Drosophila melanogaster: one gene and its partner. The protein of the gene in region 2 interacts with the protein of the main gene of each other region in a pairwise test. Each region holds a gene or a part of one and is shown on either strand. Other genes may lie near its edges. The genes, in order: Ctf4 and Psf2.

The links.
Region 1: the proteins of Psf2 (region 2) and Ctf4 interact in a two-hybrid assay, tested with the Drosophila melanogaster proteins (one study listed by BioGRID).

What each region holds. Positions count from the first base shown.
Region 1 is NT_033778.4:13,978,275-13,987,702, forward strand, and holds Ctf4 (chromosome transmission fidelity 4), read right to left. Parts: upstream 5,044-9,428; 5' UTR 4,962-5,043; coding exon 2,274-4,961; 3' UTR 2,088-2,273; downstream 1-2,087. Other genes in the region: CG6701 (uncharacterized protein), read right to left, coding at 668-843, 910-1,066; CG8067 (uncharacterized protein), read left to right, coding at 5,413-5,549, 5,611-5,866, 5,924-6,532; RN-tre (uncharacterized protein), read right to left, coding at 8,767-9,197.
Region 2 is NT_033779.5:4,385,682-4,388,916, forward strand, and holds Psf2 (partner of Sld five 2), read right to left. Parts: upstream 1,676-3,235; 5' UTR 1,639-1,675; intron 1,390-1,638; exon of another isoform or gene 1,333-1,389; 5' UTR 1,328-1,332; coding exon 1,083-1,327; intron 1,025-1,082; coding exon 658-1,024; 3' UTR 501-657; downstream 1-500. Other genes in the region: Vps53 (vacuolar protein sorting 53), read right to left, coding at 1-141, 202-297; Tps1 (Trehalose-6-phosphate synthase 1), read left to right, coding at 3,044-3,177. UniProt on the Drosophila melanogaster protein: The GINS complex plays an essential role in the initiation of DNA replication.

The DNA of each region.
Region 1 (9,428 bases), on a different chromosome or scaffold from region 2:
ATAATATTTCTGTTTTTAAACTGAACTCTCAGCATTGAGTTGAGTTGAAATCCACTTAAAGTCATATACAAAATATGCATGTACATTTGTTAATGTTTATAATTTATAAACAAATGATTACGTTTGTTTAGATCAGATTGCTGCTGTACCAGCAAAGATTCCGCGCATCTGAGTGTAAAAGAAAGAATAATCCGGCAGGGGAAACCCAAAACCCAGAACCCAGATGACTCATAGACTCAAGCGAGCAAATCGCGATCGCACACGACGTCGATCGTATGTATGTGCAAATAGTTGTAAAGTTGCTCTGATAATACGGGGAAAATGTTTGGACTGGAGCGAGACAAAGGAAAGCCACATACATACATATATAGATACATACAGTACGAAATCAGTCTTATCGCGCTTTGACTAGCGAAATCGAGTGGTCTGCAATGCAATGTCGAGAATATTGAGCAACTTAAGGCATGTTTACATTTTGTATCCGATTATACTTATCCTAATATATTATATTTCATATTTTAAAGAATGACCTACACATGTACATATCGGACCAACAAAATGCAATTTATTAGTTTTCTAAGGCAACCCCGACCGAAGCTCATTTGGCAGTGCTCACTGTACAGGAAATAGGATAGCAATAAGGCATTATCAATGTGATTCAACTTACATTCGTAGCTCCCTGACTGCTGAGCTTCTGACGAATCTCGCTACTGTTGGGCAGGGCGTTCAAGTGCACCTCGAATAGTTTTCGCATTTTGGCCTTGTCCACGTACCACTCCGTTTGGGCGCTTATCACCTGGAGTCTGGCCATCTCCAGCAAAAACGAGCCCATCAACTCGCGCTCTGTGCCCGTGAAAAGTGATCCGATGTTATGGATCATATATAGTATATACATAGTATATAGCTTACCCCACGGAACCGTCGGCTTGCGAGGCATTCCATTGGCGTAGGTGCCGGGCGGTTTGATACCGGCATTGATCGGTGGCGTCGGTGGCGGTGTTGGGAAGTCCGGCGGGGTTGCGTTGCCATTGTTATTGTTGATTATGTTCTTTTTATTTTTTGTCATTTTGGCTTGATGTTCTTTATTTTGTACTGATTTTTTCCTGTTGTTTTTTTCTATGTTTTTGTTATTGTAATACACTCACTCAAACAAAAAGGGTAGGATCGATAATTGTTGTTGCGAATAATCGCAATTAAGTTACTTATTTGACGCGAACAAAACGCAAAGACGCAGACACACACACACGTTGAAATATTATATATGATATAGTATGTACTATTCAGCTGACGATCGAAATGCACGGCGTAACGTTCAGGTAACAAATGAAGAGAGTGATGCGCGAGCGTTGGGTTTTATATGCACGGGTTACCCAGACGGGGATTTCTTAAAAAAGTTGTTGGGTTAAAAAATGGCTTCAACGAAAACTAATTCAACATTAAATTGGAAATAGAGTCTCTCCATCTTTAGATTTTAACGATGTCCCTGTGTGTTTGCCTGCTTGTGTGTGTGTTTGCGTCTGCAGCAGAGAGCCTTCTGAATAGCGGTGATCAGTTCGCTGGAACTGGAAATTCATTACGGAGTTCTTTAGCTTTCTTCCAGTGGCGAGAATTTCGTAAACAACGCAAAAGGAAGCACTCGCTGCCGCAATACTTACATACGTGTATGTAACTGTCAATTTAGTTTGTTATTTAAAAAATATATATATTTATTTTTTTGATATATCTAGCACCTTTTTTGCTTATTATTTCTAACCTTTATATTGTGTTTTTTCCTATGTGTATGAGTGTGTAATTTTATGTTGGAATTTGAGCGTGTAACACTTATTTACAAAATAGAATTAAACGAACACATAACTTTGACTTGAAAGTCGTGGAAAATCCAGCCTAAAATGATCGTTTCGATCGATTAATGTCATTTACAAAGTTTGGTCACACTATTTGGTTGGTTTAATTCCAAAGATAAAAATACCAACGGTATTCTTTGGAGACCAGAATGTTTAATTTGTAGAATTTTAAAATATTTAAAAATATATTGATCATATTTTAAATAAACTTGTACCCTCCGCTTTTTAAAGAATATACATTTTAATATAAATAAAAGTATATTTTATTCTTTAAATTTAAATAAGCAAATTAATCCTTAACAATTCTGTTCCATAAAAAGCTCAAATAAAAATTTGTTATTTTACATGTAGCTCACAGAATGGGATAAACGTTACACATTATTTATATAATATATTTATCTTAAACCTACTTATCAATCTACAAACAGACTATTTCTTTGCCAGCTTCAGCTTTTCGGATCCAAAGATGACTCCAGTGTCGCCCAGTTTGCGCTTCATAGCAAAGGGATTAACCGAATTCAAAGGGGACCGGTGATCGGTGGCTTTACCCATGGGAACCTCGGATTCCGATTCGCCGAATATGTTTTCCTGGGTGTCCAGCGGAGAGGGTGTGATATCCGGAGTCGAGGGCCGGGATGCTGCCGATGCTGCTGCTGCTTTAAACATATTGGGTGAATTGACCAATCTCTTCAGGGTGCCCCGTTTGGCCGAGCTCAGCTCGATGGCCTTGGGTTTTGGGCCGCTTTGTGAGGCCGATGTGGGAGTCATTGGCAGAACAATGGTGGCCGCAATGCCGCTGGCACCCAACAAAGTCTGCTGCTTGCGTGCCTCCTGGACCGCCTCCAATTGAGGTAGCAGTTCGCACAGACGGTCGGACAGGTGGATGCGTCCACGTTTCGTGGCGTATTTCACGGCCAGTTGAAGCAGATCAGTGCAGGCAATCGATTCGATCAATTCCCTAGCTCGCGTCTCGCACTCGCTGCTGCAGGCCAATGCAAACAGCTTGATGGCCGTCTCCTTTTGCATCTTCTCTGCCCCATCCATTTGCATCAGACTGGACCGCAGCAGTGCATCCTCCAGCTCGGACTTTTCCACTTCGACGTCGCAGAGCGGGATCTGCATACGCAGTTCCTGGAGCATGGGACGCGGATTGGTCATGGGATAGGAGGTACCGCGGCACAGGACCGCCTGGACTATCTGACGTTTCTCGGATACAGCGACCACAAAGAAGTTGTGCGACACACTGGTGCTTTGCTTCATGGTGTCGCAGATGGGGAACCAGGCGTTGCTGCTCCGGCGATACAACTGCAGCAGACCCATGTTGTCGGCAATACTCGGCGATCCGGTGTCGCTGTACCCAAACCAGGTGAGCTGCCGGCCTGGAGTCAGCGGAACGGGCAGATATTCTTGTCGCAAACTCAATCCATTTATGTTCACCAACATCGCGGCGAGATGCTGCTGCGTCTGACTGGGCGCGGAACTGTGGTAAACAACCATTAGGCTGTGCTCGTGTCCAGCAATAGCCACCATTGGTCCTGGTATGGTTAGCACCTCACGCTGTGTACCCATCACGGTGAAGATACGCAGAAAACTGGAGCTGGTGGCCACAGCCACTAGAAATCGCGTGGCCACAACAGCCTCTGCACTCTCGCAATCCGGGAGGCTGAGTGACCACTCTTTGTTTCCGGCGGCGGCCAGAGCAATGACTACTAACTTGCTGGATTCGTTGGAGGCCAATGCCAAAGCTCCACTGCTCACACTGGCCAAATTGTGCTGATTGTAGTTACTAATGTGTAGAGCGTGGTGAATACTAGCGTCGTGGAACTCCACATCGATGGAGCTATCGCCTGAGGGCTCCACATGGGCGGTAACAATGCCCACATCATTCCATGCCATGTAGCGATGCTCTAGATCGGCCGGTGTGGCACTGGGCTGAAAGGCCGTCTGCTGCTTGAAGAGCTTGATTTGCGGGGCAACGGGTGCAGGTACAGTTCGGCTACTGCTGTCCAGGGATTGGTTGGAGGCGTCATCGTGATCTACGGGATCCGCAAAGTTCATCACCTTGCGCTTAAGCTGTTCCAGACTAACGCCATCGCCGTCGTCTGCTGCAGTGTCCACGTCATCGCCGGCCTCAAACTCATAGTCATCGCCCAACAGCTCGGCTTGGTCGTCCACCAATCCATCGCCGTTGCCTGTGTCGACTGCATCGCCAAGAAATACGGTTCCCAGCTGGCCAGTGGCATCGCAGAAGGCCACCTCCACCTCTCCGGACAGATTCCAGGCAAGGCATGTTATGGCATTGCAGTCGCTTGGCGGAATCTCCACTGTTACTGCCTTCCGTTTCTTTACATCGAAGATGCTCACCTCGCCCTTGGTTGTTCCGGCGGCCAGGCGCTCACCATTGGGCGAGAACTGGCAGCAGCTGTAGTTACTGGACACCGAGTCGTCGCGCAGCTTAAAGGCCACTTCCCAGTTGGCCGTGTTGAGGACCACAATCTCGTTGTCAACGGCATAGGCCAGAAGTTCACCGCTTTGTGGCTCGAAATGCGGAGTGCCATACAGGCTGGCGCTCTCGAAACTGTTGACCTTTGGCAAGCCCCCAATGGTCTTCAGCTCCTTGCCCTCCTCGAAGTTCCACACCTTCAGTTGGCCATCCCCGGCCACGGAAACCAGCAGCTTTCGCTCCGCAAACAAGTCCAGTGCCAGAATGGGACCAGTGTGCCCCTCCAGCACCGTTTCGTTGCCAGCTGTATCTCCCTTAAGCACCTTTATAGTGGTATCCTCGCTGCCGGCAGCAGTATAGCCACCGGATACCTTGAGGCACGTAGCCGGTGCCGTGAATCGCATGAGGATGCCATCGCTGTCCATCTCGGGAAAGGTGTAGGCATGGATCGTATTCCGATCCGTCGAGGCCAGCAAACGGGTTCCCGTGTGGGCTATGCACATGACGAACTCGCCCAGGCAACTTGAGCGTGGATCGTCGTCACTAATGCAGGTCCAGTGCCGGATGTCTCCATCTGTGCCGCACGTGATGATGAACTCGCCGCGCGGAGTGTAAAGGAGTCCCGTGTAGCCATTGGTGTGGGCATAGCGCAGGGCACTGCGCAAGAAGCTCATGATGTGATTTAATGCTTAATTTCAATTGATCTCTCGCGATGACCTCCCGTCACTTTTGGCGCCAAAACAAATAGGCACTACCTAACAGTGTAAGCCAACGGCCGAATGGGAATGTCTTGATGTCGCTCTTTTCCAGCACTGGCCAACAGCTGTTCGTTCAATACTCTTTCTTTTTAAATATTAAAAAAAATATATCACCACGTTCCCGTTAATAATTTAAATTCAATAATACGTGAAACATTGTATACATAATTTGTAAATAGTCACACATGACGTTTCAATTGTTTAAACAACATTGGTATTACTTTCATAAATAGAAAAATTTAAGAATCCACAAGATATAAGACATGTAGGGTATACATACTTCGACTTTCCATTTTAAAAATGTAATATTTTCATTTTCCCGCAGCCGGTTGCTTATTACAGCACTGCTCTGATCAAAAGTCGGAATATGTTAAGAAAATTAACAAAACTATCGACCTTAAAGGTCAAATGTGAACTCCGCGCCCTATCCTCACTCACCCAAACATCGCAACATATATTTGACCGCAATGCCAAGAGATTACAGAAGGAAAGGGCCGCACTCAGGTGAGATCTTCTCGCCAGGATTAGAGTATATATTCAATTAGTAAACAATATACGTATACAGCGAAGACGTTGGACTATACGATTACTTGAAGGAGGAGATCGGCTTCCGCCTGGCTGACAGAGTATTCGACATTAAGCGGGAGTTCAAGGCGGCGGCGGATATCGGATGCAGTCGCGGCTATCTGTCCAGACACATTCTGGCGGAGAGTGTGGAGCAGCTGACGCTCACGGACACCAGTGCTACGATGCTGGAGCAGGCACAGGGCACTCCGGGTCTGAAAATGGTGAAACTAGTTAAGGACGAAGAGCAGCTGGATGTGGGTAATTAATCTACTTAGACCAAAGTTGCAAGTCTAAATGAGAATCCCTTTCAGTTTGAGGACAATTCACTGGATCTGGTCATCTCTAGCCTAAGTCTGCACTGGGTGAATGATCTGCCGGGCTGCTTTGTCAGAATTAAGCAGAGTCTGAAACCGGATGGGGTCTTTATAGCCTCCATGTTTGGTGGAGACACCCTCTACGAGCTGCGCTCCTCGCTCCAATTGGCCGAGCTGGAGCGCAAAGGTGGCATATCTCCGCACATCTCGCCCTTCACTCAGATTAGGGATATTGGTTCCCTGCTTAATCGCGCCGGCTTCACCATGCTGACAATAGACACCGATGAACTGGTCATCGGCTATCCCAGCATGTTCGAACTGATGTGGGATCTCAAGGGTATGGCAGAGAACAATGCTGCATTCAATCGACCCGCTCATCTTAGTCGAGAAACGATGCTCGCGGCCAGTGCCATCTACCAGGAGCTGTATGCAAAGCCCAACGAGAAGGGGATACCTGCAACCTTCCAAATCATCTACTTTGTGGGCTGGAAACCCGGTCCCAATCAGCCACAGCCTCTGGAAAGAGGAACCGGTGAGGTGTCGCTCAAGGATCTAGGGTCGATTATCGAAAAGGGCGGCAAGCTGGACACCAAAGCGGGAGATTAGCTTAGCTTCAGTTGACAGTTTTATTTGGAGACGTTGTTGAACATAATTTAAATTAAAATATACATAATTCCTTTTGCTGAGAAACTTAAACTAGTGATTCATGTTTGTGTAAAGTTTAATCATGAAATTAATGGTAAATACTCAATTCATTTGTCAGTTTGCTCGGTTCGTGTACTGCTATGAGGGTATAACTATACATAAATCTAGCGTAATCGTACGATTCTGTTATCTATAGTTTTCAATTAATATTTGGTTGCCTTTCGCCTTTACATTCGTTTGCATTTCATGGACGTAACTTTTTAACGTTGCTTTGTATTTTGTTTGGTACGTATATACAAGTACAATTTACAACAATTTCTATAATATATATGCTTGAGTTGAATTCAATTTGCAATTAAATAGACTTCTAACCGCTTTGTAGTTGTATTAGATACGATTTGCTCTTGCTTAAATATTGTTCCATTAGCAGTTTTTATGTATTTTATGTAATTCTCGATTGCTTTTATCAATTGTTTAACTCGTAACTGTTGTAAATTTAATTTGGCGCATCTAAGTCACTACCAAGTCGTGCCCCAAGCTTCCCGCGGTGTATGTACAAAGTGTGTGTGTGTGTGGTCTCATTCTCTCGAAGCTTGGTGATTGCTATTGGCTGCACCCATGGAAGGCCTAGCTCTAGTGTTTGCAGCGGTGGCAGGGCTTGAAGACTTAAGGCTAATCAAAGGCAGACGACGGCTAGTACCAGGAACTAGGTGATCCCGCTCCGGTTGGCCGCCGCCTTTTGCTTTGCTAGTCATCCCAGCGACAGCGGAGATCTCGGCGGCACGGGCGGCGGTGTGGGCGTAGCTCTCGGTGAGGATGTGGGGCTAGCTTCCGTTGCTCCTGCTACTGCTAATCCCGCAGAGGTGGCTGTGGTGAGTGTTTGGCGATTCTCTGCAGCTGCCTGCGCCGCGACGGACGCGGGCGGCAGTTGACGTCAGGTGCCCAGGAGCATCTCGCGCTGCGGAGTGTTCTGCAGCATGTTGGCGGTCCTCAGGTGAATGCTACAAAGGATGTGGTCGTAGAAGATGAGCCTAACGATGCTTTCAAGGAGTTACAGTCAAAATAATATGGAAATTATAGATCTTATAGATCTGATTGTGACCAAGATTATTTTGACTGTAACCGACTATGGATATATACTCACTTGTTGTCCTCCAGCGACATCGTTTCCGAGGAGCCGTGCGAGGCAACTGAAGTACCTGCAAGCGAACTTCGTATTGAGTGCGAATCCTCGGGAACGGTAAGCGTAACTAATAAATTGCGTTTATAGGAATTTCGTATTTTTTGTCGATTTGGTTTGACCAATCCCAGTTCGTCGTGTTGCCAATGCGTTGGGAAAAAAATTTGGTTTTTGGAAAATTGCATTTAGTTTTCAATTGTGGCTGTGATTGTGGCAATGTGAAATTTTTGTTAGCTGTGTTAGTGTTCTTGTGTTTTTTGTACTTGTTTGTGAGGTGCAAATCGAGTCGATTACTTCGTACTAATACTGTTTTCTTAGCCTGAAACATATATTGTAGTACAATAAACTGTATATATTGGGCTAACTGCGAAATCAACCATGCTGGCAAATGTGTTCTTTTCAGTACAAAATCATATTTATTTGTGTGGTACGTTTCGCTATATGTATAATCATATATAATTATTGGCTAATCAATTAGATTACAGCTACAATTTTGGCTTTAACATAAACTAAAAGTTGAGTTTTGTTTGTAATGCAAATATAAAGTAAATGCAAGAGCAAAGCTTAAGTTACCTAATCAGTTGGTTTATGCTAGTAGGTATTGTGGAATTGTGGGTAAGAAGTTAGGCGGTTAGCAATAAATATTAATCGTTGTACGTAGTTTCAAACGGAATAGTTGGAGTCTTAGGAGTTATAAGTATTTGGAATATTAAGTTGAGACTCTCGGTTGGATAATATCGGAGAGCGAGGGGAAAAGAAAGAGTGTGGAAGAAACACTAAATACACACATCGATGAATGCTAGCAAATGAATAACAATTTCAGGTTTCTGTCGGTTCGACAATACAAAAATTAAAGCTAAGTACATGTGGATATTACTACCGAATGTTTAAGGGGATTTTTGAGGGGGGGGGGGGGGTAAGGAATTCGTTATTGGCATATGCGTTTTACAAACCAAGTGGGCAAAACAAACATTAACTACATAAAGAAAGAATACGAAATACGAATCAACTAAGATTAAAGGCGTGTGTTCTCCACGCTCAGCGCATCATCGTCATCATCATCCGCAGCATCCCGATGCCCGTCCATATACCTGCCGCCTCCGCCTCCATTTTGCACGATATACACCACCTGGCTGCTGGGAGTCTTCGGATGGAGGGGCAGCTGCTGTCGCTGGAGCACTTCCAGTGCCTGATCCAGATCGATGCGATTGCGACTGTCGCTATCGCTGCTAAAGCTGTGCCGCATATGCTGCAGCCCGTTGGGCGGCAGAGCTGGATGCGTCTGCAGGTAGCTGAGATTGTGGATACTCTGGCTGCGGGCGGGATCTTGTTCACTATCGATAGTGGTCACCACAAATCCATTGCTGTACAGCGAGTAGCTGCTATTCGCCGGCGAGGTGGCTAAGCTAGTGATACTCTCAAACGTTTTCATTGAGTATCCATCACCTAGGAACAGAATTACAGAAGCGATTGCAAATTAGGTCAGATCTGATTTCGAGTTTTCTTTTTTTTTTTTTTTTTTTGCAGCTCCGATTGCCGGCAAGACGCAGAAGCGGTGGCTTGTGATCGAAACGGATATATATGTACACGCAGCGGACAATGTTAGACAATGGTTACAAAATGGATCATCCGATAACATGAACGTCGAGGGGCGTATTTAATAAGCATGAACTGGTT
Region 2 (3,235 bases):
ATCAATCAGGGACACCTCGCACTGCATCTTTTGGATGGTCTCATCAATACCGGCCAGCGATTGCTCGTTGGGGAAGAGCTGGTTGATGTAGTCCACAGTGTTGAAGTCCGGCGCATCCATCGGATCGTCCGTTTTGAGAACCTTTTATGGACATTCGAATTGGGTTGGTAATTGCTACCAACATATGTTCCACTGACTCACCTTGTCGATGACCTGCTTCACCTCCTTGGAGAAATGGATTTTGTTGTTAGCAACCATCCTTTCTTCCGGCTCCACCGCTACCGCAGACTCGCTCATCTCGCTTTATCCTTATTTATTTGTATAAAAAAGTTATTGTTATTCTCTTCGTGGAAAACCAGGGATACAGTGCAATTATATGATAGCAGCTGCTGTTAAATTGCTGTCGTGCTGTAAGGCGCAGTCCTGTTAGATAAGCGCATATCGATAAAGAAATTTATCGGAATTTGAAATGCCTTATCAAAAACTTCTAATTCTAATTACTTTTTTTAATTTTCTGAAAGCATTTATATTTAATTTTAAGCATACAAATATTTTTGAACTTTTGAGAGGTTTAATGACTACAGGCTACATAAGCTCCTGCTAATAACTAAATCTATTATCTTAAATGTTCCCAACAATGTTGTTTGACTGGAATAATCACTGAGAAAACAGAGAGTTACTGTTCGGACCCGAACTGGAGCCTGCCATGGATGCACTTAGCATGGAGGTGTCCCTTTGAGACGCAGTGGCCGTGCGCTGGTACCGTGCTATGTGGTCCAGGGAATAGGGCAGAATGGGTCTCACGCTGTGGATCTCCAGAAGCGTGAGGTTGTCTAGCTTTGCATATGTGCCCTCTCCCTTGATAAAGGCGTCGATCGAAGTGCGCAGCTTGGACTCGCGTATGTCGAAGATGTCCTTGATCACAGTGCGCAGCTCCTCGCAACGCGGAACGTCATCCGGAGCCGTGCTCATGACCAACTGGGCCACTACCATGTAATGCTCACAGGGCATTTTGGTAAAGAACCTATGGGCAGGCGGAGAATAAGATTTGCTTTCCACGGGCATACCCACATCATACATACTTTGAGCGCTTTTCCTCCTCCTTGATTTCCTCCAATATATCCATGTCCATCCATTCTGGAGGTACAATTCGGCACTTTTGTTGCTTGCGCAGATGCGTGGCCATCCACAGGGGCACGAAGACGGGAAAACCGGCTCGGAAAGGGCCCACAGGTCCGTATATCAGGTGCAGAGGCTCGTTGCTGAAGTTCGGTATTATGCTGATCATGCATTTTTCGCCAATAAATTCAATAATTGAAGGATCCATAATTGCTATAAACAAACAAAACAAATGCGGGAACATACGGTCACTCGAGCGGCCAGTGATGACACCTGTCCGCTATCGATCTCAATGCTATCGACCCAGTGATCTCTGCAGTCTGGCAGCCCAGCTCTGCTATTGACCGTTAATAACGGTGTTGTTTTCCCAACAATCTGCTTGCATCACGAATCTTTCGCCTGCGGGCTCTGCGTCAATTTAATCACGTCAAACTATAGACTTCTGCGACATAATAGCCACAGTTCGCCACTATAAATATGCCAACCGTAATTCGGCGACCTTCGGCCGGGTTATCTCACCATCATTACCACTATCGCCGGCCGGATCGGATCGCATCGCATTGCTGCACCGCTACAACCGATGGAGCTGACTAATTTGTTCTCCCGGTGCGAATGTGTTATTGCAGATTCCGGCTAAGGCGACGACAACTATCAAGAATCACGTAAAACGCCAGCCGGGCATCGTGATAAGCGCATGAATGCCAAACATGATCAAGCGTTCAAGTTCAGCCAAGTTTTCCGTTCTATAATATATAAGCTGCCCGGGCGTAATCCCTTGCACCACTTCGCCGTAAAATCCGAGACTAAAATGCACTAGATAGCCTTATCGGTCTTGTATCTTTCCGGGCAAATAAAACTATACGCCCGGTAATGAACTCCAGAAATGGCGGTCATTACAAGGTTAGATCTGCACTAGCTGGAATCCCAAACTGAACAGATTTCAACTGCAATCTGCAGACAACTTCGATAGAGAAACGAAAATAGAAATACAAATCTTCTGTGTACAATTCGGATGTTCTTTATAAGGCTGAGCCCGAAGCGTAAACAACAGCATCGATTTGTTGACTTATCGCATCGAGAGACAACATCGATGAGATGGAATGGGATGGGTGGTGGTTAGGGGGAGGAGGCGGAGGATGATGAGGTTGTGGCCGTCGTTGCCGTGAAATGTTCCCGAGCTGATAATACCAGGCACGGCCAGTTAATTCTAGAAAACTATCTGCGGTGTGTAAACTGCGGCACCGATAGTTCAGATCACATCCCCATGACATCTAACCCCTTCAAGGATCAATTGGGTGAACACTTGGCCACTAGGCCAGGACAGAAGCGGTAGGTATTCTCCTGCGCAGGTTTCGATTCTCTCACATCCGCTGGGAAAAATGTAATCAGCGCGAGAGGAGCAGATGCCGGACGATTTTCTGATAAGCCGGAGAGTGGACTGTGGAACCCATGATGGAATGGGTGGAGGGGGTTGGCTGGCTGGCATTAATTTTTAGCAGAAAAGTGCGACTTGATCGCCTAGTTGGCTTAGTGCTTGTCTATTTTCGGCAGGGTACGGAGCTGCTGGCTCTCGCGACCATCGAAACTAACGTAATCGACTCACCGCCAATCAGCCAGGAAAATTGCCTGCCATTTCCACGTAGAATTGCATCTGAGAGTAGCTTTGATAAGAAGGCAGTGATTGACTTGGCTTCGAGCAGTCTTCAGTCATCGATCAGCGCATCTCGAACCAAATTCGGCAACGGTCGCTCTCGCTTCGGAAGAACGGACTCGTTCATTGATAAGCCTGGATTTGAACTAGACGGTTGTCTAACCTCCACATCCGCGAATTTTCCCATACGCTGTTGTCAAAAATTATGTGCTAGACTTGACCGCAGGAGAAGATTCGTTTAACTCTTCTACAGCTAGCTTACCAAGGATCACGATGCCCGACACGGAAATCATCGTTACCAATGCCGGGGAGCCCTCCACCAAGGCGAGTCTCATCGTGGTATCCAATCGGTTGCCGTTTGTGCTTATCCGAGATCCGAAGACCGATGAGTTGGAACGCAGGGCCAGGTGGGTACATTAAAAAAAAAAGACTTATATAATCCAGTTTAACAAATACGTGTTCTAA